Linked DNA regions of Ovis aries. The protein of the gene in region 2 binds, or shares a complex with, the protein of the main gene of each other region. Links are inferred from orthologs where the notes say so. Each region holds a gene or a part of one and is shown on either strand. Other genes may lie near its edges. The genes, in order: MAPK8, ATF2 and MAPK10.

Evidence for each region.
Region 1: the proteins of ATF2 (region 2) and MAPK8 are in contact, whole or in part, in a crystal structure (PDB 6ZR5), measured with the Homo sapiens proteins. The link is inferred for Ovis aries from reciprocal best matches to the Homo sapiens genes ATF2 and MAPK8. Residues at the interface, in NP_001243019.1 of Homo sapiens: Phe36, Val44, Lys48, Met51, Thr52, Leu53, Lys54, Phe55, Gly56, Pro57; in NP_001310257.1 of Homo sapiens: Asp112, Ala113, Gln117, Val118, Met121, Glu126, Arg127, Tyr130, Leu131, Tyr133, Val159, Lys160, Ser161, Asp162, Cys163, Val323, Trp324, Asp326, Ser328, Glu329.
Region 3: the proteins of ATF2 (region 2) and MAPK10 are in contact, whole or in part, in a crystal structure (PDB 4H36), measured with the Homo sapiens proteins. The link is inferred for Ovis aries from reciprocal best matches to the Homo sapiens genes ATF2 and MAPK10. Residues at the interface, in NP_001243019.1 of Homo sapiens: Lys48, His49, Met51, Thr52, Leu53, Lys54, Phe55; in NP_620448.1 of Homo sapiens: Asp150, Ala151, Gln155, Met159, Glu164, Arg165, Tyr168, Val197, Lys198, Ser199, Asp200, Cys201, Trp362, Glu367.

What each region holds. Positions count from the first base shown.
Region 1 is NC_056078.1:41,693,224-41,704,177, reverse strand, and holds the start of MAPK8 (mitogen-activated protein kinase 8), read right to left. Parts: upstream 5,246-10,954; 5' UTR 5,094-5,245; intron 4,500-5,093; exon of another isoform or gene 4,320-4,499; intron 1-4,319. UniProt on the Homo sapiens protein: Serine/threonine-protein kinase involved in various processes such as cell proliferation, differentiation, migration, transformation and programmed cell death.
Region 2 is NC_056055.1:134,972,364-134,982,676, reverse strand, and holds part of ATF2 (cyclic AMP-dependent transcription factor ATF-2), read right to left. Parts: intron 8,274-10,313; coding exon 8,177-8,273; intron 7,679-8,176; exon of another isoform or gene 7,646-7,678; coding exon of another isoform or gene 7,555-7,645; intron 5,157-7,554; coding exon 5,038-5,156; intron 4,911-5,037; coding exon 4,782-4,910; intron 1,060-4,781; coding exon 881-1,059; intron 1-880. UniProt on the Homo sapiens protein: Transcriptional activator which regulates the transcription of various genes, including those involved in anti-apoptosis, cell growth, and DNA damage response.
Region 3 is NC_056059.1:101,631,289-101,641,601, forward strand, and holds part of MAPK10 (mitogen-activated protein kinase 10), read right to left. Parts: intron 5,451-10,313; coding exon 5,268-5,450; intron 222-5,267; coding exon 97-221; intron 1-96. UniProt on the Homo sapiens protein: Serine/threonine-protein kinase involved in various processes such as neuronal proliferation, differentiation, migration and programmed cell death.

The DNA.
Region 1 (10,954 bases), on a different chromosome or scaffold from region 2:
CCAAAATCACTGCAGATGGTGACTGCAGCCGTGAAATTAAAAGACGCTTACTTCTTGGAAGGAAAGTTATGACCAACCTAGTTAGTATATTCAAAAGCAGAGACATTACTTTGCCAACAAAGGTCTGTCTAGTCAAGGCTATGGTTTTTCCAGTGGTCATGTATGGATGTGAGAGTTGGGACTGTGAAGAAAGCTGAGTGCCGAAGAATTGATGCTTTTGAACTGTGGTGTTGGAGAAGACTCTCGAGAGTCCCCTGGACTTCAAAGAGATCCAACCAGTCCATTCTGAAGGAGATCAGCCCTGGGTGTTCTTTTGGAAGGACTGATGCTAAAGCTGAAACTCCAACACTTTGGCCACCTCATGCGAAGAGTTGACTCATTGGAAAAGACCCTGATGTTGGGAGGGACTGGGGGCAGGAGGAGAAGGGAACAACAGAGGATGAGATGGCTGGATGGCATCACCAACTCGATGGACATGGGTTTGGGTGAACTCTGGGAGTTGGTGATGGACAGGGAGGCCTGGTGTGATGCGGTTCATGGGGTCGCAAAGAGTCAGACACAACTGAGCATCTGAACTGAACTGAACTGAATGCTACATATCCAGAAATGTTCCATAAACTGAACTAGCCTATGCCATATAGCTAGTTAGATCTGGAGTATGGATTGGAACTCAGGGCTGACTCTAAAGTTCATGCTAGCAACCACAACTAAGTTTGAACATCTTAACATTCTAAAATATTGATTAGATTTTAACCAAATCTGATGCACTACAAAGCTATATGGATGGAGACATATATCAATATTTGTGCTATATTTGTTACACAACCCACCACCCTGAAAAAGAACGGCAGTTAATAAATACTCTAAAAGGCCTTATACATATATACTGCTACTGCTAAGTCACTTGTCGTGTCCAACTCTGTGCAACCCCATAGACGGCAGCCCGCCAGGCTCCCCCATCCATGGGATTCTCCAGGCAAGAACACTGGAGTAGGCTGCCATCTCCTTCTCCAATGCATCAAAGTGAAAAGTGAAAGTGAAGTCACTAAGTCGTGTCCAACCCGCACCCTCAGCGACCCTGTGAACTGCAGCCTTCCAGGCTCCTCCGTCCATGGAATTTTCCAGGCAAGAATACTGGAGTGGGGTGCCATTGCCTTCTCCATACATATACACACTCACATATAATTTTAAAAACTAGATTTCAATAAAACTTGGCCTTGCCAGGATTGTTCATTTGGGAGACGCCTCATAATCTTTTAAAAGGACATAAATTCACTGTTTAGATAGGCCTTAAATTCTATTCATGATCATAAGCTTCTTGAGGCTAATAAACTCTTCTTTTTCACATTTTCCACTAAGTATCTGAAAGCACTAGTCTCATTAGTAAGCTCGGTGCTATGGAATGAATAAAATATACCATCCAAAGAATTGCTGGGGCTTTCCAGGTGTGCAATGGTAAAGAATCTGCCTGCCAAAGCAGACATCGGTTCGATCCCTGCGTAGGGAAGATCCCCTGGCGTAGGGAAGATCCCCTGGAGTAGGAAATGGCAACCCACGCCAGTATTCTTGCCTGGAAAATTCCATGGAGAGAGGAGCCTGGTGGGCTACACTTCATGGGGTCAAAAAGAGTCGGACATGACTGAGTACAAGGACGAAAGAACTCCTGGCTTCCAGTGAGGCTTTATAGTTGATATATAAGTATCGATATTATAGAAAATATTGTTTCAGTAATTTTCTCTGCTTCTGTACATTACAAAGTCTAAGTTTCATTGTTGTTCTTGACACAGGATTTTGGTATCACCCAAGAAGGACTCTTTTGTCCCAGTAGGTTTTCTAAAGAACCAACTGTCTGGGGAAATAACCTTTCTATTTTAAAAAAAAAAAAAAAAGCTCCAACAGCCTCAGTTTATAGTTCTAACCAAAAAGATAAGCCACTTGTCTACAGCTCTAGGGCTTGTTGACGACAAAGTTCAGATGACAGAACTGAGAAGTGAACCTAGATCTGATTCCTGGAAATGTCTATTTCTACCTGTTGCCCTGATTGACAGAAGTAAGGGCAGCTTACTTTAATAAGCTCCTGTCACCTTTTCAGCAGCAAAGTTTGTTGACTCAGAACTCATTTGTGAAATCAAAGTTCAAGTTAATCTGCATTAGAGCAAGAAGACAAAGCTACTAAATATTGATGTAAAGAACCCATGACTAAGACAATAAGCATCACAGCTCACAGAAATAGGCAAATGACTTCCATCTAAAGCTATGTGCCTATAATGACTTCCTTGAACTGCATGAATCAGTGCGACTACTATCCATACTACTGACTCGAGCAGAGATCTCTAGAGAGCTGGCATCTTAATATCAGACATTACTTTATACACGTGCAACAACGCATCTCAATTATCTGGATGACTCAAATATGTCAAAACTCAACTCACTGACAAAGCCAAGACATTAAGAATCAGGCTTCTATTCAACAAGCTTTTAATTGCAACTAGGATAATTTGTGACTAGTCACTTAATAAATTACTTCAAGTTGTTTCACTAAGCATTGAGTATCATCACAAGGTTATTTCCATAATATTAGGCACTGGGCAAACAGCTGAGACTCTAATTTCATTAATTTTGGTAGAATTTACTCTTAAACTAATTTCCCTCCAAGTGACCTTTCTCCTAGGATATAAAGGATATAGTTTTTTGCTCTTCCAGGAGAATTAAAGGGAGCCCTTTTCAAATTCATTAATGGAATTTACTTATCAGAATCAGTGCTCTCTCTTCCTTTAAAGATAACATAGAGCGTAATAAGGAGGAACTGCTATTGAGTATGGGGTGTCTTGAAAAAGTTTTTTAAAGCCAACAGAATTTAGAAAACCAAGTTAAAAAAACTCTGACTTGGCACAAGTATAGCATGACTGCGAGGACCTGTATCAGTTACCCTTACTGAAATCTGACATATTAACTAGGTAAAGCAATAAAGCTTAGCATCTCAAGATTTTCATCCTTTATGTTAATAAAGTATCATGTTATTTCTTTATTTGTTCTCTAAATCAGAGAATAAGTTCACCTCAAATTCTTTTATATCCAAAGCAAATGCTAAGATATACTAAGTGGAAAAGAGATGTAATGTGGATAAATTAATATTATTTTCAGTTTTAGGCCCATATGCCTCACCAATAGTATTAGTACAATGAAGAATTTAGAATTAAACATTTCTAACAAAAACTTTTATGCAATTTGTTTCCTTTAACTTTTCTGCTTAAAAGAGCATTCAGAAACTTTTCAAGTAATATTCACAAAAGGTAATATTCACAATCATTATTGACCCTGTTGAAATATCACTGTGTGTCTGTGTACTTACACACAGAGACACACACATATTTTTAAAAGTATTTTAGACAAGGTTTAATTTTAAGATAGTCAATGGGTTAGAAGTGATAGGAAAAAAATTAATACTGAAGTGATTCAAAAGCCCCTATTTTCATGACAGATAATATATATGAATTGATCATTTAGTCATCTGGAAGTGAGTTTGCTTGAGGCTTCCAAAACTATACAGAGAACATTAAAATGTTTTTTGTTAAGGCTTGAATTTCGATGTTATCAGCTCTAAAGAGCTTTCCATCAATCTGATTTTCATGGAACACTTACTATATTCCAGGCTAAGTGTTAGAAACACAAATGCAAGACAGGCCTGTCCTCAAGGAAGTCACATTGCGATTGCTTGTTACATCAGGTACACACTACACAGGCTCACTCACAGCATCTGACCTCCTAGGCTTAACCCACAGCAAGGGATTCTGAAGCAAATATCACAAATGACTGTAACGAAATACATAAAAGCTGTTGTACGTTTAGACCAAATGTAAGCCTACTTCTTCATAAGTATAATGTTACACTAGAAATTCCAGATACACTACTAAAAAACAGTAGAATGACCCAAAGCATAACTATACCTTCTTTAACTCACATCACTTAAACAACCATCTAATTTAAAGGTACATCTGTTATAGTTCAAAGTATTTTCTTCCATTACAGAGTATTTCTCTTTGCCCTCAAACTCCATCTGGGTACAATACTGAACAGTTCCTGAATGAATGAATGAAATAAACAGATGTTCTAATTACCAAGGAGGTACTTGCTAGGTGCTTTTCTTAAAACACAATGGACTGACAGGCCAGAATTCTACTAGAAAGATCAGTGAGTTTAGGGGCAAAAATAGTAACCATTGGACACTGTCTGATACCGTGCAGTCAACATGTTATTAAGTTAGTTCACAGAAAACATATGATGGGAAACTTTCAGAAATTAAAATGAAAAGTGCTCACCACAGGACTTTAGAGGAGACTTGGCTCCCATCGAAGGACAGGGAACACAAGCGCAAGACAAAGAGAAGGGAGGGTGGGGTGAAAAAGTCAAAAGGTCGCCGCCGAGTGAGCCTCCAGAGCAATGCGCGCTGACCACTGAAGCTCGCGCTGAGCCTGACGGACACCTCCACCTCCTGCCCAAGCCTCGAGCCCCAGCTCTTCCTCCAAGGCGGGAGCTGAAGGCCACTCCAGCCTCTTTCGGCACCGCCGCCTGCGTTCGCTCGGAACATTAGCACAAAGAAACCACCGAGAAACAAAACGCTGTCCCCGTGGGCGCCGGGCACGCGTCGCGACCCGGCCACCGGAGCGCTCTTTGCGGGTCCCTGCCGCCGGGAGACGCAGCCGGGGAGCAGCGGGCCGACTAGGCGCCTTCGTCCAGACCTTCGCCCAAGTGTTTCAGAACTTGCCACCCGCCTCCCGCTCCATCTTCCTCTCCCGACGTGGGCGCTGGACCCGCGCGAGGAGGGCGCGCGAGGACCGACGGGCGGAGCTGGGGCCGAGGGGGCGGCCGGGACGCGCCCGGGTCCCGCAGCCCCACGCCCCCTGGCCCCCGCCGCCTCTGCCGCTATTGTTCCCGGCCGCCCCCGCCGGCCGCGCGCCCCCCGCCCGCCGCGCGCTCCCGTCCTCATTCCCGGGAGGGGGTCACGGCTGAGCAAAGGCGGTGGCGGCGGCACAATAACATAAACACGGCGGGGCCGCCGGCCGCCCTGGCCCTGAGGCACTGGCCGCACTCACCCGGCAGCGCAGCGAATGGCGACAGGAAAGCCCGGCGGCGGGAACCGGCGCCGTCTCGGCGGTCTCCGCAGCCGTTACCCAGCGCTGCTCGCGGCTCCGCGATCCGGGCCGCGTCGTCCGGCCTCCGCCGCTCCGCTGAGTAACAGGGACGCGGGCCGTCACCGCGCACGCCCGCTCACGTCATCGCGCAGGACCCCGCCTCCGCGCTTCGCGAGCGGCCCATGGGGCGGGGCAGCCCGGGGGCCCGGATTGCGGGGGCGGAGCCCGCAACCCGGGGGCGGGGCTACTGCAGGGGGATGGGCGGGCTTGCGGAGGTCGCCTGGAGGCGGAGCTACGAGAAGAGCGCGTGAGAGTCTCCGGTGCGGGGTGTGGCGGAGTGCTGAACGGGGCGGGGACTTGCTCCCGGCGCGTGGCGGCGTGTGGCCTGAGTGCCCCGCAGCTGCATGGGGGCGGTCCGCTAGTCCCAGCCAAGGCCTCTGGGGCTCCTTGCCCCAGAGTTTGAAGGTCAGGTGCGCTTAAGCCGGACCCGCCCGGGAATCTGGCACTATGGCTAGGGCTCACACCTGAGGGACAGAAAGCTCTTTACCATGACTGACAGTACGTTCCACTCGGAGGACACCTGCTTCGGGCTCAGCAACCCTCAAGCAAATATTCTCTTAAGCCACTTGGAAAAACCTGCCTCCTGTTTTCCCTAAGTCCACTTCCTACAGAAGTCACTGCATTATCCTGTTTGTCTCGGCCCCACAAGGCATGTATATATATGTTAGCTAGAGAAGTGACAAATTGGCAAGCCCTTAAATATCCGGCGAGTGGAAAGATGTCTAAATTACATACATGTTTGCAAAAGAATACATTTTAGAAGTTTAAATACCGTGTGTTCGAGGGATTCTTAACGACACAGGAAAATGTTCATCATACTTCATTAAGAGAAAGAAGCAAATCTATTATACATGGAGAGAATGATCCTACTTATATACTACACATACATAGAAAAAAACTGAAAAAAAACGTGGCAAATCATTTTAACAACCTAGACAGCATATTGAAAAGCAGAGACATTACTTTGCCGACAAAAGTCTGTCTAGTCAAAGCTATGGTTTTTCCAGTAGTCATGTATGGATGTGAGAGTTGGACCATAAAGAAAGCAGAGCGCCAAAGCATTGATGCTTTTGAACTGTGGTGTTGGAGAAGACTCTTGAGAGTTCGTTGGACTGCAAGGAGATCCAACCAGTCAATCCTAAAAGAAATCAGTCCTGAATATTCATTGGAAGGACTGATGCTGAAGCTGAAACTCCAATACTTTGGCCACCTGATGCGAAGAGCTGACTCATTTGAAAAGACCCTGATGCTGGGAAAGATTGAGGGCAGGAGGAGAAGAGGATGACAGAGGATGAGATGGTTGGATGGTATCACCGACCCGATGGACATGAGTTGAGCAAGCTCCAGGAGTTGGTGATGGACAGGGAACCCTGGCATGCTGCAGTCCATGGGATCGCAGAGTCAGATGTGACTGAGTGACTGAACTGAACTGATTTTAACAGTAGTTCATCATTGGACTGTGAATTGGTTTTCTTTTATATTTTAATATTTCCCTGTGGTTTCCACATTGTGTTCATAATCAGAAAAAAAGTATACTACTTTAGTAATGAATAATACATATTTATTGAATAAAGGAGTGAATTCAGGTAGACTGTCTTCCATGTCATGTTGGACTGACCTGTTTCCAGTGATTCTGAAATGAAACATAAATTCATTTGTTCAGTCTCTCCCTAATTCCTCCCTCTCTCTCGGCTTCTTTATTTCCTTCCTTTCTTTATTTCTCAAATAAATATTTATTACATGCCCATTCTGTGCCAAGCACTTTGCTAACACTGGAAATAGGATGGGGCTTACAGACCTAATCATTATAATATAGAAATAATAACAGTAAACAAATCCAAAATGATCGCTGCATTATAATACAAAATGATATTGAACCAGTTGATGAAATTAATAAAGCCAGGAACGTCTTCCTTGAGGAACTGCCTCTTGAACTGAGAACAGATTCAACCAGGCAAAAAACATTTGTTTCAGACAGAGGTAATTTAGTGTGCAAGAGTCATGTGATGACAGGGAGCAGGGTGAGTTTGATAAATTGAGGAAAAGACCAGTGCTGCTGGAAAAGCAAGGAAGAAGCAGCTATGAGATGATGTTTGAAAGATTATAAAAGAACCAAACCTAGTACAGCCATACTACTCATGCTGAAAATCTTGTCTTTATCCTAAGTGCAATGGGAAGTACCTGGCATGCTGTAGCAAAGTGTGTGACATGGTCAGAATGGCATCTTGAGAAGATTACTTGTTGAAAAGAGGCCAGGTAGACACAGGCGCAGTCTAGATGGCAGGTGGCAGAGGCTTGCTCTAGTGTGGCGGTCATGGAAACAGTAAAAGGACCCTCTGGGAGAACTTGGTGATGGATTTAGGTGGACAGTGAAAGAAACGGAGTTATTATGGAAGAGTTGTAAGTTTTTTGCATGTGGCCAAAGATGGGATGTGTGTGCTGGTTCACTGAGATGGGAATCTTGGAAGAGAACAGCGGTTGCATGGAAAGATTGTGAGAACAAATAGTTTGAAGGTTTTGATCTGCCCCAAAGAGATGCCAGGTTGGAAGGTGGTATTCAGAGCTGGGATCAGGTGGATAAGAGAAGAATCATTGGCAGATAGTGATGACTTAAAGCCTTGGGGGTGGATCAGTTAGCCTCGGCCTGAGTGAGAAAAGGAACTGAACAAGAAGAAAACATGGCTTGGAGCCAGGCTTAAGGAACTTCAGCACTGAATTAATACAAAAAAGAGGAGCCTGAGAAAGAGCTCCCAAGAGGAAGAAGGAAAACCAGGGGAGAAGGATTCAGGAAAGAGTGATCAGTAATATCAAGTGTAAGAGGAAGCTTAAAATCCTGGAGTACTTAGATCCAGACGTAGTTTGAAGTGGGCTAAGGAATGAATGGGAGATTGAAAATGGAGATGGTGGGTAATGATGAGTCAGGAAGTGAAGGAAGACACATACATATTTACATCTGGTAGGGAGACTGTTAGGAGGGAAAGGTGGAACAGAGGGAAAAAGCATGAGTGTAAGTTTCCTGGGAGAGCGAGGTGAAGGAAAGGGTGGAGGATATAAGACTGGACAGGCAGGTGGAAGTATTGACAGGTACCTCCTGCTCCCCAGCAGATAATACGGAACACGTGGAAGTAGCAAAAGACAAAATAATCAGCGCGGTTGTGGAGTGAGTGCTGCAGAACAGAGCTCCCAGTCTTCATACCTAGCTCTATAATGCTAGTAACAGCCTCTCTTTCCACAGGAAGAGCTTCTGGTTGAGCCTCAGCCTTCCACTGCCAGCTTCCACTTATCTACATCTAGAAAAAGACATCCTGCATGGTTATATACATATATGTGCATGTGTGTGATTTCGGAAGGCGTTTCACTATTTGTGATCGAATGTTATCATCTTGATAGTCTGCAAATTCAAAATCCTTTCCGTAACCCAGACATGGCTCTGGGCCTCCTTCTTCCTTCTCATGGCATTCTTCCTTGTTAACTGGTTGTAGTTCCTTTTGAACCTATTGAGGGCTCACTCAGTAAAAGGAGAGCTAAGGAACTGTTTCATTATTGGCTCTTTAATAAAGTTCTACCCTTGCCTGCCACAGCTTAGGTATACCTGTGCTAAACTGCCTTCTTGCCATCCACATCCAGCTTTGAAGGTATTCAATATTTATCCCCTGGGGAAGAAAAAAAGGGAATTGAGTGGAAGGGAAAGAATATGTCATTGAAGTCCTGTAACAATAAATAAAATCCTTGCTGTTGTTTTAAATAAATATATATTTAGGAAGAAGACTTTTCATCAGGTGTCTCAACAAGGATTCTGTGCCTCATTTACAAATTCTTCACCCACATTTCCTGTGCTGCTGCTGCTGAGTCGCTTCAGTCGTGTCCGACTCTGTGCGACCCCATAGACGGCAGCCCACCAGGCTCCCCCGTCCCTGGGATTCTCCAGGCAAGAACACTGGAGTGGGTTGCCATTTCCTTCTCCAACCCGTGAAAGTGAAGTCTCTCAGTCGTGTCCGACTCTTCGAGACCCCATGGACTACAGCCTACCAGGCTCCTCTGTGTAAAATTTGTCATTTGCACTGCAGAAAATTCATCTGGGTCCCGTGGTAGAGAGAAGAGAGCCATTCACTACTGGCCCCTCTCCCTCGACAGTTTTAGGGAGGACACATCGCCCTTGCATCTCCATCGCCATCTCTGTTTCTGTCTTCATCCCCACCTCCGTCTCCATCTCCGTCTCTACATCCATTCCTGCCTTCATCTCCATCACCACCTTCATGGCTCCCTCCCTTGCCCATCAGATGTAAACCTGGAATTCATGTTAGATTGGCTTGCATTCAGAAAATGACCTTTTAGTAGGGAGTCCCCTATGAATTCCCAAATTCTGCCAAAAGTTCTACACATTTCCAGCTAAATTTTAAAAGGCTTTTTGTAGTGTTGTTGGCTAGCAAGAAGGAGATTCTGGCATCCCTGTAGAGTTAAGAGTCATTGTCTTCAGGTGGCAGGATTTTGAGCCCCCTGCAAAGCAGAAATGTTGCTAAGAGAGGTGTTTACTGTGACCTCCTTGGCAGAGGCCTCTGGCCAGGATCTGTCTCCAGTCACTGACTCCAGGGGTGATCTGGAGTCCTCCAGTGGTCCTGAAATGATGTTCTTGTTTCTAGAAAGCAGAGGGGAAGAGACCATCTGGTAAAGGAATGTCAACAGCTCCTTTATCCTGTTCCTGAGCAGATTCCCATACAAAAACATTTCTGCTTCTCTGGGGTAGGTTTCATTGCCCCTCATGCCCAGACCAGCAAGATTAATTCTCAGCTGCATCAGCCTTCCAGCTTGAGGCTTACTGTGGATCTAAGAAGAGGGCAGAAGAGAGTAGAGTTTCTGTGTGGGGAAAGGCAGAGGAAATGCCATAGCCCTTCAAGGTACAGACCATTTAAATGAAAGACAACTGCACGGGGAAGAAAGTGAGCATTCCTTCCTGAATCTCAGACAGTTTACGCTCCACCTGATGCTTGACAGATAAACAATGCAGCATAAATGGCGGAGAAAACTATTTCTGGAAGTGCTAAACCACACAAAGACTGGATAGGGTCTCAAACCCAGCCCACTTTCCCTACCCCTCACTCACAGTATTCTGTTTCCTTGTAAAGCAAAGCGTGGTTGGTAAATGTCGGCCTATGCAGAGCAGAGAGCAGGACTCCCCTTCCCTTGGAATCAGCAGGAACAATAGGGATATCACAGGTAAACTTCTCAAAGTCAGGACCATGGCATGAGGTTCTATCACCAAGAAATCAAGCAAGGCTGTGCCCACAAAGAGATGAGGCTCATCCTGTCTGGATCCTCTTGTGCACGTTCTTAGGGAAGATGGGACCAAACTGATAGATTTAAATACATGGCTCATCCTACTCTCACAGAAGGCTGGGCATCAGGATCTTGGAGGTCGAATTCCCCACTGTGTCAGAGGTCAGCAGCCCTGAGAGGGAGGATGGATGGGGCTGAAAGAAGCGGCCAAAGAGCAAACCAAACATCAGGAGCTAGCTTGCGGGGCAAAGATTTTAACCACAAAAGAAAAAGAACTACACAGAAATGAAAGTCCCCTGAAGAGACTAGCAAGGCACTAGACTTCCCTTCACCCAAGCAGTCCTATAAAGCTTATAGATCTGAGCGAAGAAGTACAAGAGTGCCGGGTAAAGAGCAAGTTCAAGGATTTTTGAGTGGTATTCAGTTGCAATCGAAAGTCAGGTTTCAAAATGGGGTGTGTGTGTGTGTGTGTGTGTGAGAGAGAGAGA
Region 2 (10,313 bases):
ATCTCAATAAAACTGGAAGAAAAAAAAAAGAACAAGAGGTCCAGCCCAAGGAAAATGCCCATGTGACAGATACAAACTTGATACCATTTCTTATAAAATGAACAAAATACCCACAAAAAATCATACATGGTGTATATATGCTGCTCAAGTAATTAAACCAACATTTCTGAACCACTGCAAAGCACATTGTAAAATTTAATTAGTTTTAATTGCATCTTAAATGCACAATGTATGCAAGCAGTATAGGAAAAAAGGAAAAAAAATGGGGAAAGCTACGAATTTACTTAGAGAACAAACTGCAATATATTAATTGAGAGAAATTCTTATCAGAAAGCTCTTGAGAGCTCCCTGTAAAAACTGAAAGAAATGTTTTGTGTCAGTCACTCAGTTGAGTCTTACTCTTTGCAACACCATGGACAATAGCCTGCCAGGCTCCACTGTCCATGGGATTCCTCCAGGCAAGAATACTGGAGTGGGTAGCCATTCCCTTCTCCAGGGGATCTTCCTGACCCAGGTCTCCCACATTGCAGGCACATTCTTTACCATCTGAGCCACCAGGGAAGCCCTGAAAGAAATGTTATCTAGTGATAAAGATAATCTTATGTGTTTTGTGTAAAATAGCATGAAAATAAGAGACCATCTTAAAATCACAATCTGCGTTGTCTTTAAAATTAAGCTCTGTATATGTTTTCTAATGTGTTAGAAAACATTCACATTAAAAAAAAAATTACCCAAGCATTTTTTCCAAAAATAAAAGCATGCAAAAATGATTAACACACAAAACTAATGCCACAATTAGAATAATTAAATGTCTTAGGAAAACCATGAAAACAAAAACTTAACAATTCAGAAAATTCAATGACTGGCCCAAATCACTTACACAATTGGCCTGTTGGAGGACGGTGCCTGGGTGATTACAGTACTTGACGTTGGTGAAGGTACTGCCTGCTGAATAATGACACTTGAGTCAGAACTTGTAAGCAGCACATTGGGAACTTGTAAAGATGCTGGACGAACGATAGCTGATGTAGGCTGTGCAGTTTGTGCCAATGGTACTTCCTATTTAATAATGAGATGGAGAAACAATGAAATTTAAAAATCCAAGTCAATTCATGTACCTTAATGAATAGAATGACATGTCTTAAAAAAACCCCACAAACTCAGTACTAAGTATCACCCCAAAATATATTAATATTTATTTAAAGTTAATTATGAGAAAATTGTTTCAAATGCAGTGTTAATATTTTAATTTAAAAAACATCTGAGTGGTTTTTTTCAGTACAACTTGTTTTACCATCAATCTAGAAATAACTTAGGCTGGGCAACTTGGTTATATAACTCCATGAGAATTCTAGTAAAAAATAAAACTACAATTCCATTCTCATGGAAGTACAGAACTTAAAATCCAGATGGGACTTCCTTGTCCTACTCCATCATTATATTGTATAAAGAAGAAGTAGGTCCAGGAGACTCTTTTATAGTTGATATCAATTCAATAATAAAAATGTTAAAATTTTTTTTTAAGTAATACAAATGTTTGCCAATTTCAGATAACTATCTCTACATTACCAATAATTTCTCAGTATCAAAAGGTGAAGTAATATTAATACCTTGAATGTAAAACTAAACTATTGTAGTAAGATCTTTCCAAAGTAAAGAAAAACACGGAACCTTATAGATGGTCTTTTCCCCAATTTACAGATTAGAAAACAGATTATCCAGAACTCCATAACTAGTATAAAAATTGGTCCACCATGTTCCTTGAATTTGCCTTTATACTGCCATTTATTCTCACAATTTTATTAAGCTACACAGGAAGAAAAATAAACTAGTACTATTGGAATTTCGTTTACTTGACAAGTTTGAGAAATTACAACATGCCCTGAAGGACTAGGAGGAAAAGAGACAGTAAACAAGTAAAACAAACCAGAAAATTTTGGACAGTAATGTCTTACAGACTAACAGTATAACATAATATCAATAAATCATGAGAGATTAACTGAGGGAAAGTTGGAGTTGGCTACTTTAGATAGCATAGTGAGGTAAAGTGAGCTTCTTTGAAAAATGGCATTTGAACTGGTACTGAAAAGATGAGGAGCGCATTCTAGGGAGAAGGAAGCAATACCAAGAGCAATGTCTTTGAGGGAGGGAAAAGCTTAGAATATCTGATGAACACTTTCATAGGAAAGGAATGAGGTGAGGTTGGATAAGAATACAAGTCTAAATCAATGATGGCTTACGGAGAAGTGTGAATTACCTTAAATGCAAAGGCAAACCACTGAAGGATTTTAAGCACGGAAGTGACATATTAAAAATATACAGTCTAGCTTCCCTGGTGGCTCAGCTGGTAAAGAATCCACCCGCAATGCAAGAGACCTGGGTTTGATCCCTGGGTTGGGAAGATTCCCTGGAGGGGAACAGCTACCCACTCCAGTATTCTGGTGAGTGACTTTCACTCACATACATATATATTCAGATATACATCTACATAAATCTAAGTATTCTGTATATGCTTGTGTTTGGACACTTTCTGCATGTTTGTTACATTTCAATTAAAAAGAATTTAAAAAAGAAAAACAAAGCCACCAATTAAGAAAAATATACAGCTAATGAAAAATAGGTTGGAGATGGAAGTAGAAAGTCCTGGTAATTGTTAAAAGTTTTATTAACTGAACAATATATTAACAAATAATTATTAACAATTATTAGAAGGTAACAATAATCCAAGTAAAAGATGATTTGGACTACAGTTGCGACAGTGAAGATGAAAGAGATAAATTAAGGATATATTCAGGAAGTAGGTTTGGTAAGATATGCTACTGGTTTCATTGAGAAGAAAAAGAGGGAATTAAGTATTCTTTATTTTTGGCCAGAGCAACTAGGTGGATGGAGAGGAAATTTACTGAGACGAAGAAGATTGGCGGGGGGGGGGGGGGGGGGGGGGGGGGGGGGTGGTGGTGGTGAAGGGCTCTAATTTAGACATACTACGTTTAACATGACACATAAAGGGAAATGTCAAGACAGAGCTGCATATGAATATGGAAATCTGGGAAATATCTGGGTTGATACAAATTTGGAAACCAGGTAGATGGTTTTTAAAGTTACAGGTCTGGATGAGTGCATTTAAGAAGGAAAAAATTGAGAAAGAAGGGGGCTCAGAATTTACTTCTTACAACTATTCCAATAACTATGCCCTGCCCAGTGTGAGCTAATGACTGAAGAATGCAGGAAGAAGAAGTACCCCTAAGAGGGCTAAAGCAGCAACCAGCAGGAAAAAACTGTTGACTGTGAAGGGACTGGAATATTCTCTAGGTAAAAGATATTTATATCAAAGATTTAACAGCATTTCTTATAACTGTGATAATGTGGAAACAATATTTACATTCAAGATCTGTAAATACATTATGATAATGACAAAATAAAGTGCAACCATTAAAAATAATGACTTTGGAAAATTTTCCAATGGCATGGGAAAATCTTCATTAATGCTGACTGTCTAAAACATGATATAAAAAAGTAAACTATGATTCTTCTTGATATTTATCTTTTTATCCCTTTATACTTCTATGTAACTATTCACTTGTATATGTGTGAAAGTGTTAGGCAGCTCTTTGCAACCTCATGGACTGTAGCCTGCCAGACTCCTCTCTGTCCATGGAATTCTTCAGGTAAGAATCCTCCAGTGGGTAGTCACTCCTTCCTCCAGGTGATCTTCCCAACCCAGGGATTGAATTCGGGTTTCCTGCACTGCAGGCAGATTCATTACTATCTGAGCCACTACAGAAGCCCAATATATATATGTATATTTCTACGTATAAAGGTTATGCATATATCTAGGAAAAATGTTTCAAAATACTAGTAATTCTTACAACTCAGTTATGGGGTAAAAGGTAATTTCTTTCTTATATTTTTCTGGATTCTTAAAGTTTTTTAATAATGAGAATGTACTATTATAAGTAAATAAAAAAAATACAAAACACCTAATGGTCAAAGCATTTATTCCTAGGCATCAATGAATAGTTACCTTTCCTGCCTTACTTCTAGCTCCTCTGCCATGGCAAAAGTCCATTAGTTAGGCTATGATTTTAGAGTAACATAACCTACAAAAGAACACTGTCATTGCCTTTTATTGTGCCCCATGCCTCCAAATAAATGTGTTTAGTAGATGTGCTAATGAATGACCATTAATTGAGAAATATCTGTAATAATGGTAACTCAGCACATAATATACCCCAGTTGGTCCCTGGTACCAAAGTAGTCAGATCTAGGAATGAGGCACTAAATTACTACAAAAAGACTATAACAAGTAAGACAGTGTAATCGTCATCCTATTAGTTGCTATTACCAAAGATCACTGCTGAAGTAAGTAGCTATTCCTTTAACCTTTTAAAAGTCTATATAACCTTTGTTCAAACAATTTTTAGTTGCAAAGATTCTTAATTAAGCTGTCACTGTACAAAAGTAGCAAAAAAAAAAAAAAGCAAAACCCAGAGAAATTAAATTTATAAATTTATGTATCCTCTAAAAAAATAACAGGTTTATCTTAAATGACTGCTATTCTCTCCAATAATTTGTCATAAAAAATTATAGATAAACAAATTATCTTCTTTCCCTAAAATTTCTTAGGATTCACAGGGTTTCACATGTAAGGCAAGTACAACCTGATGCTGATTAATGCATTACATTAAAATTTTATCTAGATCAAATATTAGACTTTACTGAGAATGCTGATTTTTTTTCCCACTTAGTTTGAGTTTCTTCTGTAAATACAAACTTCTAACCTTCTCATCACTGGTAGTAGACTCTGGGTGAGGTAAAGGACTATCCTGGTGAGTTGTTTCTACAACAGACGGCTCCTCAATTTTGCTTCTTATGATGGGTGTTGCAAGAGGAGATAAATCTAGAGGCATCTAAAAATGCAAATTAAACAAAGTGTTAGGAGTTTAAAAACAGCCAATCAGTATATCTAAAATAAGAAAGCAACAAGTGAAAACTGTTCTGTCAGAAGCACTCTTAATTTCATGGCTGATAACATACTTTTTTAATGTCATCTTCCGAGGCTTTCTTGAACTCATTCTCAAATGGACTTGCCAACTCATTAAACAAACCCACTTCTTCACAGTTCTTCAAGAATCTTGTTGGTGTTGGGGTCTGATCTGAAATAAATGTCAATAAGTAATTACACAGATTTAAGTATCATACCGGACTCTAAAGTATTTTAGCAAGTAAATTAATGAATTAGCAGGACTGGTTCAGTCAGCTGTTAATTCTCTTTGGAAAGACCTCTTCCTTTAAAGCAAACAAAATTTGGTTAAGTTCTTGTTGCAGTTAAAGGTATTTCCTCCAACTTTATGAACAATAAAAGTATGAAAAGAATTCCTTCTTGTTCCTTATTCCACATGTTCTGAGTAGAGGGACATAAGCATCCTCTATTCAGAGATAAACTATTATCATTATCTAACACAAATTTTTTTTAAAATTTACACTATTAAAACTTACAAATACTTAAAATACATGCAATTTGGGGAGAACTAAGACAAGAACATGTATATTTGCTTTAACTTGGTCCTTCCACTAGTGTTCATAATCTATTATGAAAGCAGGCTTAAGATAAAACAGTGTTGCACTAAAACACAAACTGGGTGTACACGTGAGCACATATCAATTACAAAACAATAGCTAGTTAAGGTCTACACTGAATGAAAAACAGCTAAGTTATGAATTTTGCCTGTTTAGTTTTATTATTTTCAAGGCTGTTTGCTCACACTGATTATGATTAATAGCACATTCAATTCTATTCACATTTTATATACTTTAGGGCATCAACTTTATAAGTTACATCAAGGATCTAGCTTAAACTAAATAAAAGTATAAGACTGACTCCTGGTTTAAGATATAATACTCATAAAACCTTCTGTGAAATTAAAATATGTATTTGTTAATTACTGGATCCCTAGAGTGGGCATCACTTACTGTTTTATCATCACCCTCAACCCAACGTATACACAGAGTATTAATGTGTTTACTACATATAAATATTTTACACTAAAATTATCTATTTGTTATACACATTAGATATAATATAGGCCTACCTCAGACAGTAGTAGTAGTATCAAACTTACTGAAGGACTTTTTGTCATCTTTTTACCTAATAGTCTGCAATGTACATAACCTATACTCCCGGAAAGACATACAAAATGGTATTATAATAATACCATTATTGTATCAACCTAGGTCCATCCATCATGATTGCAATAGTAGACTGAACCTAAATTTGACTCTTCTGTTCATGCTCAAAAGATTTGTCTATGCCTAAGAGAAGGTTCCTATTTTGTATTAAAGGGAGCTGCTGCTGCTCTTAAGTCGCTTCAGTCGTGTCCGACTCTGTGCGACCCCATAGACAGCAGCCCACCAGGCTCCCCCATCCCTGGGATTCTCTAGGCAAGAATACTGGAGCGGGTTGCCATTTCCTTCTCCAATACATGAAAGTGAAAAGTCAAAGTGAAATCGCTCAGTCATGTCCGACTCTTCGCAACCCCATGGACTGCAGCCCACCAGGCTCCACCGTCCATGGGATTTTCCAGGCAAGAGTACTGGGGTGGGGTGCCATTGCCTTCTCCAATTAAAGGGAGAGGAGTCTTAAAAATAAAATACATATGCAAAAATCATGTTTTATCAGCAATTACTGTAATGATCAGGCTTGGAAAGAAAAACGTCAACACAGGCACAATTGTTTAAACATGCATATGGTTTTTGGCTATTGATCATCAAATATATATCACACGCATCATGCACTATATTTACACAGTTACGCTGTACTACTCAAATATATTTAGTTAAAGAAAAAAAGTCAAGTGCTATGTTTAGATGTGTTCTACTTTTCTAGCACATTAAATGTAAACAGAAAGGAAAGTAAGTTCTAGAAACCAATCTCAAAATATTTTTGAGTTAAAGGTTACAGAGAGAGATATGGCTCTAAGGCAAGAAGTTCCAGAGAAGGAAAGACCTTCATGCCCAGGGGAGTGAAACTTCCAGGCTGTAGTTATTTTGTTTGCATTTTTGGTTTTCTCTCTCAATATCTGATACACGGTATTTTAAAGAAATACATACCACACTCTTACCTGCTTCCTTTTACTTATAGAAATGAAGATGTGCTGAGTGTTCCCCTACATTTTTCCTAAACAAATTGTTTTTTTGGTGAATTATCTGTTACCTCCAGTTTTTTCAAGACAAAAATCTTGATACTGAATAATAAGAATTATCTTTTTTCCTCATTATCATATACAATGCTTAAGAGAGATAATTTGATTTCAAGCTGGGTAATAATTTGAAGTATTAATAATATTCAGTATTTAGGTATAATTCTAGACTTACAAATAGTATAACCTAAGCTTTACAAGAGAAAAAATTAAAACATTAATTTGAATATTTGTAATATATGACTGTGGTTATGACAAAAGCGCTGAAATTTATATATTAAATTTTATATAAAATCATTTTATCACAATACTTCTATGTGTATACATATACAGAGAGGTATGCATCTATAAATACCCAAAAAAGAAGTAGCTGACAGCATGGAAGGACAATAAATCAGTGCATGCACTGGGCTTCTCTCTTCACATACTGAAAGATAATCATCCATTTAGGTGATACAGTATGTTCATAGGAGCAACATCTAAAAATAAAAAGCATTGATTGAATTTAAGCCCGGTTTATTAACACAGATGTTTAGTCCAAACAGAAACATAAACAAAATCCTAATGAACAAGTCTGCTAACTGCTTTCTCCAACAGGAGGAGCCTGATCATTTTCTAGCTTTACATAGCACTGTAAAGCAGATGTAAACAGCTAAAAGAAACAATGACTAAACATCATGTTAATTGAATTATCAGTTAAATGTAAATTCTGGAAATGGTATGAATGCTCCCAGATCCTAATTAACTTCCACAAAAAATGATATTGAAGTCTACATTCGAAAACTATACAAAAAAGTGAAATGAATGGTCAGAAGGAAACATGAAAATGTAATGGGTAAAATACATGTTGCCAACATTTATTGTAAATGAAGCTATTGGAATATCACCAGACTATATTATTTACAGAGAATACACAAAAATTGTGCACATTCCAGGTGAAATATGTATATAAACTATTAATAAAAGCATATACTAACCAGCCACAATGACACTGTCATTACGTGCTGGACCAAATTTCAGTGTCATCTCATGTTTATGTTTATGGACAGCCAAATGATCCTCGTTGGTAAAACGCTGTGGCAAAAAGTTTTAAAATATAGTTAAGATTTTCAATTTGATCAAATAAGTTAAATGATAAGGAAATTTTCATTTCCACAACATGTAAAACCACCATTAACAAAGACATAGCAGTTTGTTAACAATAAAGAATCTACTGTTAGTATAGATAAACATATTAGGTCTTAATCATAGAGAAACTCATTACCCAAGAATGAGCAATAAAGATGATACTAGGTCATGTAACTCATTTGAGAGCATTTAAAAAAAACCTGAGGCAAAGAAACTTTACATAAATTTCATTTGGACACTAAAAATAGATCACTGTTAATTTTTGCCATATCATAGTAGAAATATATACTCCATGGTATAATGACTTTTGAAGAAAGTATTGTTATTTTACTTAGATTTCAGGTTACTTACCACTTTTAAAATGAGAACTTTCTTATAAAAATATTACTCCTGGACAAATTAAGAAGTAAATCAGGTGCTTTATGTTACCACATAAAAAAAGAATGCCTTGATTATAATCCAGCAAAGAAATAGCAGTGAATACAATAAAGCAATTCATTTTAAAATAAAAAATTTAACTTAGAATAAAGTGGTTTTACATTTTTTATCATACTCATATAAAAAAAATGAAGCAAAATTATTTCTAAAGCTACACTTAACTTTGATAGGTCCTACATGCTAAAGGTGACATTTACGATTACAATATAATAAATACATTGTTTAAATATCTCCTGTGTCTGGATATCAATCTTTATGAAGATGCTCCTTATCTTTACCAACATTTACAACTGAAATATAGAGCACGCACTTTTTAATTTCAAAGAAATAATTATAAGATGTCAAATTAAGAGATCTATACTCACTCTCTAGGCTATATCCTTAAAAATGGGATGTTAAAATAATGAACATGGTTTTTCCGAACCACCAAAAAATGGATTCCTTATCCTGTGGTCTTACCATTCCCTATTCAACTCAGTACATAAATCCTCTCATGCAACTAATGATAGCAGCTTTAGGGTTAACCTTAAAACAATGTAAAAGAAAGAAATATTTCTATCTATTATGCTTTCTTTTCTCAATATTAAAAGTGTGACCTGTATCATCCTTAGTCCAGCCCACAAGCCCACTGTAAAAAGTTAATTCCTGTCATTTATATCTGATTTTGCTCTGCACAGTATATGTTTATAGCACCTAGCAATATTTTATTGATGCTTTCATATTTCAAGTAGACTGAGCTCCTACTATTTCAGTTTCCCTAAATTTAACATATAGTAAGTAGTCAATAAATGCTAACTGAAAGAATGATCTCCTTACAAGTAAAGAACTGAATCTTTAAGCCCAATCTAAAAGAAACAAAAACCATCAAACCACAGATTGTTCCTAAAGGTGAATTAAGCGTTAATTTAATTTGGTTATATTGTTTTTAAGTTACTGTACACCAGTGGAAAATTATTAATGTCCCCTCTTTATAACCTGTTTATATTCCCACTGAAGATGAGTATATAGGTGCAAAGAGTAACTTTATCCCTTGACTTACTCATTTACAATTGAAACAATCATTGAGCAATCATAATCTAGCTCTGCCCTACGCAAGTGCTATTTTCCTACTGCTCTGTCATTACGTATAAGAATCCTTTCGAAATTTGGAAAAATAAAAAATAGTCATCCTTTGATAAGAGTTTCCAATATGAAGCTTTTGGAGAATAAACAGTGATAGCATTTACCAGCACTACTTCATTGCTTTTTACTTTGCATTACAGTTTTGAATGTCTTACAAGCATCTTAAAGCAAGATTCACTTTACGTTCCAAAGAACCCAACAATGTGGCTTCTCCACTGAAGGCAATCATTAAACATTTGCAAAAAAATGCATTTTAGTAGAGGTCTTAGATTTTAAAACAGCAAAGTCAGCATAATTAACAGACAAGCTTAGAAAGTTATCTCCTAGGAATTTTATCCCAACGGTATCCTGTGCTTAGTTACTGGTTTGAACACAAATATTCAAATCAAACAGCAACTACATATACAATAAATTACATTATGTTTT
Region 3 (10,313 bases), on a different chromosome or scaffold from region 2:
TCTTTTGGATTCTAACTCTCATTCAGTGCACACCATGGAGCACCCAGTTGCTATGATTTGTTTGTGGAAAGAAAATAAAATAAACCTAAACCTTACCGCTTCCACTTCAGCAGGGTCGTACCAGACATTGATGTATGGATGTTGTAAGGCGTCATCCACTGATATCCTTTTCGCTGGGTCAATCACTAGCATCTTTGACAGCAAGTCTCTGGCTTGGCTGGCTGAAAAAAATGAATGAAGAAAAAAATTTGTTAAATTTTGATTGTGGCAAGGACATTTTTTAGAGGGAAAAATACTTTTTAAAAAGTCAGTTAGCACCTTCCTTCCAAACATCAGCTAACTTCACCAAGTGTTTAGGGAAATGCAAAATGAAACAATGAAATATTTTTTATCCATCAAATACACACAAAACATGGCATAATATTCAATAATCTCATTCATGTTGGTTGCAGTGTAAATTTATAAAGACTTTTTTAGAGGGCACATTTGGGAGTATCTTTTAAAATTTTAAATGTGAATATCTTATGACCCAACAGTTCTACTTTTAGGTATACAGTCTAGAGAAACAATTGCACATGTTCAGGAAAAGCATCCAGAAAGGACGCTCACTGCAGCATTGGTCAAGGATAAAACATTTTAAACAATCTAAATGTTGCTGTTGTTCAGTCACTATGTTCAGCTCTTTGCAACACCATGGACTGCAGCACACCAGGCTTCCCTCTCCTTCGCTATCTCCTGGAGTTTGCTCAAATTCATGTCCATTGAGTTGGTGATGCTATCTAACCATCTCATCCTCTGCCACCCCCTTCTCCTTTTGCCTTCTATCTTTCCCAGCATCAAGGTCTTTTCCAATGAGTTAGCTCTTCTCACCAGGTGGTCAAAGTGTTGGAGCTTCAGTATCAGTCCTTCCAATGAATGTTTGGGGCTGCTTTCCTTTAGGGACTTCCCTGGTGGCTCAGACAGTAAAGTGTCTGTCTACAACTCAGGAGACCCGGGTTCAATCCCTGGGTTGGGAAGATCCCCTGGAGAAGGAAATGGCAATCCACTCCAGTACTATTGCTGGACTGCCCTGGTGGCCCAGAGGTTAAAGTGTCTGCCTGGAATGCAGGAGACCAGGGTTCGATCCCTGGGTCGGGAAGATCCCCTGGAGAAGGAAATGGCAACCCATTCCAGTACTTTTGCCTGGAGAATCCCATGTAGGGAGGAGCCTGGTAGGCTACAGTCCACGGGGTTGCAAAGAGTCAGGCCCGACTGTGCAACTTCACTTTCACTTTCCTTTAGGATCGACTGGTTTGATCTCCTTGTAGTCCAAAGGACTCTCAAGAGTCATCCACCTGTACCAATTAAGTTTGGCAGTTTTAAGCATGGCAGGCTACAGTCCATGGGGTCGCAAAGTGTCAGACACGACTGAGCAACTTTCACTTTCAGATGTATTCACATGGACATAGTATTAATTGAAAAAACAACTGCAGAATGACCCATAGATCCTGATGCCACTGTATAAATCTGCCTCTTCCCAATAAAACAACAAACATTTCTCTCTCTCTTTATTTATGGTTATAAATGCATAGAAAAATTCTGCAAGGATCATAGACAAATTGAAAATCATAGGTACCTCTGAGAGGAAGAAAATTCATACATGTATTGCTTGCATAATTAAAAATAAAGGTTAAAGAATTGTTTTTTAAAAGGAAACAAAGTGAGTGTACACCACTCATTTTAAAACTTCAGAGCTGCAAAAAAGGACAAAGCAGTATCTGGAGGGAGGCAAGGAAGTCAGAGGTGACTTTTGGAGAACGGGAGAGAGAATGAGGACTTTAACGGAAGCAGAAGCTTCACAGATTGAGAGAAGGGGGCAACTCTGAGAGAAAAAATCCACAAGATTTAGTAAACAAATTGATGCAGGGAACTTGTTTATTTATTCAATATTCAACATACATCATCTACTGTGTGCCAGGTACAGTTTCAAATGCTAGGGATACAAAAAAATTTGCACAGTGATAATCAGTAAATGTATTTATTTAATAACATTGCTGAGTGAAGTGTATTGGTTGCTCAGTCATGTCTGATCGTATGTGTGTGACCCCATGGACTGTAGCCATCAGGTTTCTCTGAGTATGGGATTTTCCAGGCAAAACACTGGAGTAGGTAGCCCCTCCCTTCTCCAGAGGATCTTCCCAACCCAGGGATCGAACCATGCTCTCCTGCATTGCAGGTGGATTCTTTACTATGTAAGCCACCAGGGAAGCCCCTAACTTTTCTAAAGGATGCTCTAAACATATCCGAAAATACAAAAAATGTTTCAGAAAATAAGGATCCAAACTGATTTGGAAATTTTTATGGTGAATATATTCAATTTATTCTAAACATGGTAAAACTTCAAATTAAAGAAAGGAAAATCTAAAACTGGTTTGCTAACTTAGGAAAAAGGCAGTGTGTTTGAATTCATGAATATGTACCAATTTTTAATTAGCAATTTTTATTATTAATGAAATATGGTTAATTATAAAATTTTGAAATTACATTAAACATAAAATCCAGAAAAGCCAACCTTCCCCACCATCTGGAAGCAATCATTCTTATTATTAATGTATTCCCTTCTAGTTTTATGTACTGTTTCATAATTTTGATTATACTAGAGTTAAAATGTGGCAGTCTAATTTTCACATCTACAGCATTTGTATTTCTTGTGTTATTACATTTTACTAAAATATTCACATTTATACTAATTATATATTTTTTAAAAATCACTAGTTAAATTACTGGAAGATTTTTTTATTTCTATTAGTCATTTTTCTGGGGATCTCAATTCCAAACACTTAATTTCTGCTACTTCCAAACTGACACTTTGAAGTTGACAGAGTGACAAAAGTACAGAAATATACAATGATTTTAAGTATTAGTTTTTCTGACTGTTAACCTAACAGGTCTGTGTCTATTTCATTAGTTCAAGACCTCTTTGATTTGTAACTGATTTTATACCCAGACTCACACACTCCATGGGTTCTCATGTCACCCACATTTCTGTTCTTGGAAGAGTAGGGGTTGCGGTGGTCTCCTCATCTATGGGAGAATGAACCACTGGAACACCAAATCATCTCACTAAGAAACAATGGTCACTACTGCTTGTAGGGAACAAAATGAGGAAGAGGAAAAGATTTTAATTCTTCATCTTTCATTCTTTTGTTTGCAAGTAAATGTCTTACACTCTTTAACAACAGTAGAATAAATCCTTCCCTTTGATTATTTGTGTAATTCTTTATAATTTGCTGATTTTGCATTATAATTATAATTCAATAATTATAAAATTCAGAGAGTGGTACAGGTAGCTGAAGGGAGAAACCCAACTGTGCAACGAAAGTGTCACAGACACAGAAACAACACTGTACTTAATTTAAAAACCACAAGATGGAAGTCTAGAGAAGATAATATGACCCTGGGAAGTTGTAACACTATATTTTGGTTTCTCCACCTCATTTAATTCTATATTAACTATAAATTAAGTCTGTACATTTAATCTGTAACTAATTAATTGTCCACTGAACAATTTGCAGTAAAATTTCACGAGTGTGTGTCCTTTTGCAGGGCGGGGCGGGGTGGGGGGATTCCCTAATAGCTCAGTTGGTAAAGAATCCACCTGCAATGCAGGAGATCCTGGTTCGATTCCTGGGTCAGGAAGATCCCCTGGAGAAGGGATAAGCTACCCACTCCAGTATTCTTGGGCTTCCCCTGTGGCTCAGATGGTAAAGAATCCGCCTGCAATGTAGGAGGCCTGGGTTTGATACCTAGGTTGGGAAGATCCCCTGGAGAAGGGAAAGGTTACCCACTCCAGTATTCTGGCCTGGAAAATTCCATGGACTGTAAAGTCCATGGGGTCACAGGGGAAGCTGAAGTTCCAATACTTTGACCACCTGATGTGAAGAGCCAGCTCATTGGAAAAGACCCTGATACTCTGAAAGATTGAAGGCAAAAGGAAAAGATAAGATGAGGAATAAGATGAGCAGAGGATAAGATGGTTAGATAGCATCACTGACTCAATGGATGTGAATTTGAGCAAATTCCAGGAGACAGAGGAGGACAGAGGAGCCTGGTGTGCTACAGTCCATGGGGTCACAAAGAGTCAGACAACATAACAACTAAACAACAACATAGATCCCCTGGAAATAATCATTTTATTATTAATAAAGATTTATTATTTTTTATATCTAACAGTTACTGAGCATTTAGTGTGAGACAGGCAGTGTTTTAAGTGCTTGGCCAAGTATTCAATTAATCCTCCCAATGATCCTATAAGATAGACACTTCTTGCTTTAGTTTGTTAAAGAAGATACAAAAAGATTAGATAACTTGCCCAGGTTCACACAGATTTTAAAGGATAGGATTCCTTCCCCCAGCAAAGGAAAAAAAATCAGATTTGCTTCATATCCCCAATTTCTGAAGTGTCATAAGTTAGAATAAGAATTAAAATATTACTTACATTATACTTTATACCTTGCCAAATTTATTCTATGTCTTGAATCCTATAAAGAAGCCATTATGATCTCCATTTTGTGGGTAAGAAATTAAGATTCATTACTAAAGTTCATAATGGCAGACATAGTAGTAGAAAAAATTACTTATTAATGAAAGTCTTTATGTTGAAAACAAAATGTGAAGGTAAAAATCTCATTTGTCACTCTAAAATAAAAAACGATGGCTAAGCATTTAGTAAAATACAAATAAAACTCAAACATCTATAGTTTCAAGATTTTACAATGAAAATCTTGTGTTGAAAATATTTTCCAGAATATAAAAATAACTGGAACAATTGTTTCAATGTCTATATAATGTTGTTCTTTTAGCATTAACATTGCAAAGTAATTTTAGATTCTAAATATGTGAATAGTTAACCCATACCACTGTCACACACTTTATTACTAGTCTTCTCTCTAGATATCCAGAAAATTTTAAAATCCTTGATTACTTTCCCTTTGTAATGAGGATCTTTTAAAAATACCTCTTCTTAAATTGAGGTTGTTGTTCAGTTGCTAAGTTATGTCCGACTCTTTGCGACCTCATGGATTGCAGCATGCCAGGTTTTCCTATCCTTCACTATCTCCCTAAGTTTGCTCAAACTCATGTCTATTGAGTCAGTGATGCCATCCAACCATCTCATCCCCTGTCGCCTCCTTCTCTTCCTGCGCTCAATTTTCCCAGCATTGGGAGAAGTGTGTCTATGGTTTGCATCACCCACGCGGTGGTTCTGAAGTTATCCCTGAAGGGCTTACCTTTGAGTTTATTGTGCTCAGAGTCCGCTGGGAAGAGGGAATCTGGAAAGAGCTTGGGGAAGGTGAGTCCTGCATACTTGGGCCGATTCTCCACATAGTTTCTTACGGTGGGTTGCAATTTCTTCATGAACTCTGGACATGGTGTTCCTAGTTGCTCAATAACCTTATTCCACTGGTCAATATCTGAGAATTGAATAGTTAAGGGCAAAAACAAGTGCAGGACACCAGCTCTTGCCTTTCACTAGTTGGGAGACTAACTGCTTCTCAGAACTCTGAACAGTCGATAACACAAAAGAAGTTCTAAAAAAACAACAACGGACAAACATATAAAATCAGATTGTCAGGCAGTGAATCCTCTTGGAATTTTAAATTCACTTTGAGAACACATACACTTTTGAGGAATTAGCATTACTTAACAAAATATGATATCATGAAAGAGTCTTTGGGTTGTGTCAATGGAAAGGTATTTAAATAACGCAAGAATTTCTTTTATTGAGTTAAACTTCTATATAGCCATGTAGTGTGGAAGAGAAAAATTATAATGACATATAATTATATTATCATGAAATTATTCCATTTATTTTCTAAAAATGACAGATGAATAAATGTTTTATAAGATTCATCTGTATTTTTCTTAAATTCTTTATAAGATTCTTTTTTCCTCTTGTTCTCAACAAAATGGGAAATTTCCTCGTCTGTTAATTTTTTCGACTCATGCACATTACAAATAGAATCAGTATGATAATAACTTATTAACTGTTCTTCAAAGACTTAAAAGATTCTGTTTATCAAAGCAGTTGCAGTTTCATACCCATTTTATTACTTCTGATAATAGTGCCTTATATCCTGAATATTGTAATATTCAATGAAATATGAAGGTAAACATAGGATGTTCAATTCAAGACAGATTTCATCCAAATGCCTGTGTTTCAAAAGCATGTTAAACATGGGGAATTTTATAAGGAAAGCATTACCTCTCTATGAACACTAATACTTCCAAAACTGGGGGTCTTTGACATGCACACCCACTGATTGAGATTTTCTTTTTCATCTTTCATAGATATTTGATATGTTAGAGCTTGGGAACGATAAATACCACTCATGAAAACTCTGAATAGCCAACTGGAAGAAGTTGATTTCAAATAGATTTCCTTGCCATGTGTCAATGAAAGACAGAGGCCTTAGAAATTCTCAAATCCAATACCATAGGCACTGTTGTCTCCAATGTTGCTAATTCTATAACTCCATCTTTAGTGTAAAGTTAATTCATTTCTGCTAATGCAATTTGTGACAGTTCCGGGAATGTTACTATAATATTATTTAATTAAGATTTGTAAAATCATTACCCTTAGTTTTTCTATAGCATTGGACTAAAAATGATGGACAGTCCTGACAAAATTAACTCTATTTAACAAAAATAAATATATAATACAATGTAGATAGGTGACTGAACAAAGGTAAAACCAAGCTAATTTGCAAATGTTCTTCTATTTCTCTTATAATCTAGCTGAATAAAATTTAAATTATATATCCTCTCAGTTACTAGGATGAAAAAAATGTATGATTGTGTAATATCAAGAAATGAAGTAAGAGTGGGGAAAACTAAAGAATATTCCTTTACAAAATGACAGAAATAACTAAACAAGAATGTCTCTCAATAAAAATTCATCTCAGTTACCATGTGTATGAGAATATATAGTAGTAAATGAGAATCATTAGGAATAAAGTAAAAAAATGCAAAAGATTAGAGTTAAAAGTTATTCAGACAAAAACTTATGTTAGTACTATTGATAATAGGTAAGCTAGATTTACTTAGATATATTTTAAATAGAAAACATTAATACAGTTAAATAAACCTCAATGCTCACACTGTAAATTATGAAAAGAGATCTACTTTTTAATACTGTTCAGTTATCATGTCCTAACAAGACATAATTTAATCAGTGATCAAACTTCTAGAGAATTCTAAAGATTTGATCAGGGCAGAGAAGTTATCAGATTTTCTGTAAAGGAGTCTTCTAACAAAGTTAGCAAAATACTCCCAATACACTAGTATAATTATATTTAGCTACAGTATGGTGGCTCAGATGGTAAATAATTTGCCTATAATGCAGGAGGCCCAGGTTTGATCTGTGGGTAAGAAGATCCCCTGGAGAAGGGAATGGCTACCCACTCTGGTATTCTTACCTGGAGAATTACACAAACAGAAGAGCCTGACAGGTTACAGTCCATGGGGTCACAAAGAGGCAGACACTACTGAGTAACAAACACTTGATACAGTTATTTAACTAAAAAGTGAATTGCTTTTAAAGTAACATTTCCAAAACAATTACATGGTTTTTTTACAGTAAACTTTCAGAAAAAGTGAAAGTCACTCAATCGTGTCTGACATTTTGCAACCCCATGGACGATATAGTCCATGAAATTCTCCAGGCCAGAATACTGGAGTGGATAGCCGTTCCCTTCTCCAGGGGATCTTCCCAACCCAGGGATTGAACCCATGTCTCCCACATTGCAGGCAGATTCTTTACCAGCCGAGCCACCAGGGAAGTTTAAGGAGAGTCAAACATCCTGGAATTAATGAAACAAGAACTATTAAAATGTTTCTTATTAAAAGTTATAATTAAAGTCTCTAGAAGCATTCAGCACATCTTCCTACCTTAGATTGCTCTTTAGATGAAATACTGTTATGGTCCTTGATGTAATGGTTTACCAAAAAGAAACACTAATCTTTATTATTGGCAATGAAATACTTGATTGTTCTAACTGTAAATATGTGGTATAGTCATCTTTAAAAGTGTGTGCCCTTTATTTTAACCAATCCATTTCAAGCTCTTTCTTCCCCAAAACATGACTAGTACATTTAAGCACTAAGTACATGTTTTACAGGCATTCACAGGGTTACGTCATTAACAACTATATACTTAGTTAACCATGTGAGTTTTCTCTATAATCATAATTAAACAAATACAATCCAATACTAGAAATATCTCCTGGCTCTAAATCCAGGTCTTGTTCCAAGGATTCAAATAGAAAAAAGACCAAGTCTGGAACTGATGTAGTAAATATTACTTTAATTTTGCCATAAAATTGATCGTAAGTTTGTCACAGGCAATCCCTCTTAAAGAATGCCTCTGAAACTGCTTTCTTAATCTATTAGGCCAACTTATTCACATAAAACAACTAATTTTATTAATATTTAAATAGAAAATAAGGTGATATATTTTAAAAGAACTTTTTAATCATCAGATTTCCACAATGATTATACTTTTAAAAATACAGAAAATATTAACCAGGTTTTTATGATTATGTATTAATTTAAAATAGTAAATATTTTTTAAAAGAATGACCAAAATTACTTTTGTAAAACAATTTCTTTGCTTTAGGACACTAATAGGTCATCATGTTTCTACTATGTGAGTACCTATAGATTCCAGCATGTGCAGTCATCAAAAAAGCAAAACATATATATTTTTGATCTACTAGTTCAGAAATCATCATACAACATAATTATCAAATGTATTTAATAAAAATTTTAAAATTTCATCTAGTAGGAATTATTTGACAATATTCTCATCTAGTTCTAAATTCACTACACTAAAAAGTTTGTTTTTTTAAATAGAGTATGATAAGATAATATACAACTATTGACTACTACTACTGTCTTCAATAAGTAGTATTGTAATAGATGAAAGAAACAAAGTATGGATTGTAAAAGTGATTATTTGAAATCCTAAGTTTGGAAATCATTCCAGCTAATTTTTGTCAGTTAGCCAAGAATTTACATTTAATGTCCTTCTTTTACATTAACTTCCTTGGTTGAGAAACTTTCTGAAATATATAACAAACTGCCTTAAGCCTAATGTATGAATAATGCCTTAATATTTTCTGAAAATTTGGGGTCATAATTTATACCATGTACATTTAAGCTTTCAGAGGCTACCAAGTGGGATCAAGTGGCTTCCCTGGTGACTCAAATGGTAAAGCATCTGCTTGCAATGCGGGAGACCCGGGTTCAATCCCTGGGCTGGGAAGATCCCCTAGAGAAGGTAACGGCAGCCCACTCCAGCACCCTTGGCTGGAAAATCCCATGGACAGAGGAGGCTGGTAGGCTACAGTCCATGGGGTCGCAAAAAGTCAGATGTGACTTAACAACTTCACTTTTTCTTTCAAGTGGGATCATAAAGAGTTGTTAGTGGCTTCATTCTTCTATGCCCTTTGAATTATTTTATCTCCATTTTGTTTTTCCATTGATTACTTTTTCTTATGATGAATATGGTTTCCAGAGTTGACATCTTTGTGAATTCAGATTTGCTTTTTACTCTGCTCTAAGCCTTATATTCAGTATTCTGTGCAAAAATGTTGACATCTCTTCACAACCTAAAGAATATCAGTGTCTGTCCCCAAATTCTTCACTATGTTTTTAAAGATAATATTGTATAAGAGTACTGTCTTTAGAAAAGTTCCAGGAGTGACTACTTTTTCTTGCAAGACAAGCAGCTACCTGGTTGGCACTGTGTTGTGTATTATTGGGTGGCTTTATGTTAGCCCTTCAATGAATGTGCATTAGGAGGTGGAGGTATGCATGCCACGTGTTAGGCATCATGATAAAAAACTGCATTTTCCAAACTGAATATTCATAACTTAGGGAACTTATAAAAATATAGATCACTCCCCTTTCCCCATTGATCTACAAGATTCTGAATGCATATGTTTGAGATGATATCATTAAGAAACATCACAGTAATTGCAATCCAGGTGGCCCCTGTTATATTTGAGAAATACTGACAATATCTTGTGAAAAAATAAGTCCAGATCTAAGAATAAAGTACTAATCTGTTTCAGTTTTATGACACAGATTAGTTTAGGGTCAATTTCACCAAAATATTATTCCACACCTTTTGCTATGGAAAACTTAGGGGTTGTTCACATGGAAACATGACAAGGAAAGAAAAATCCTAATATTTGTTCCCTTTCCGCATGTCACTTTCCCGAAAAGACCATGAGAAATTATGACAAGTGTCACACATAGCTCTATGCAGAGAA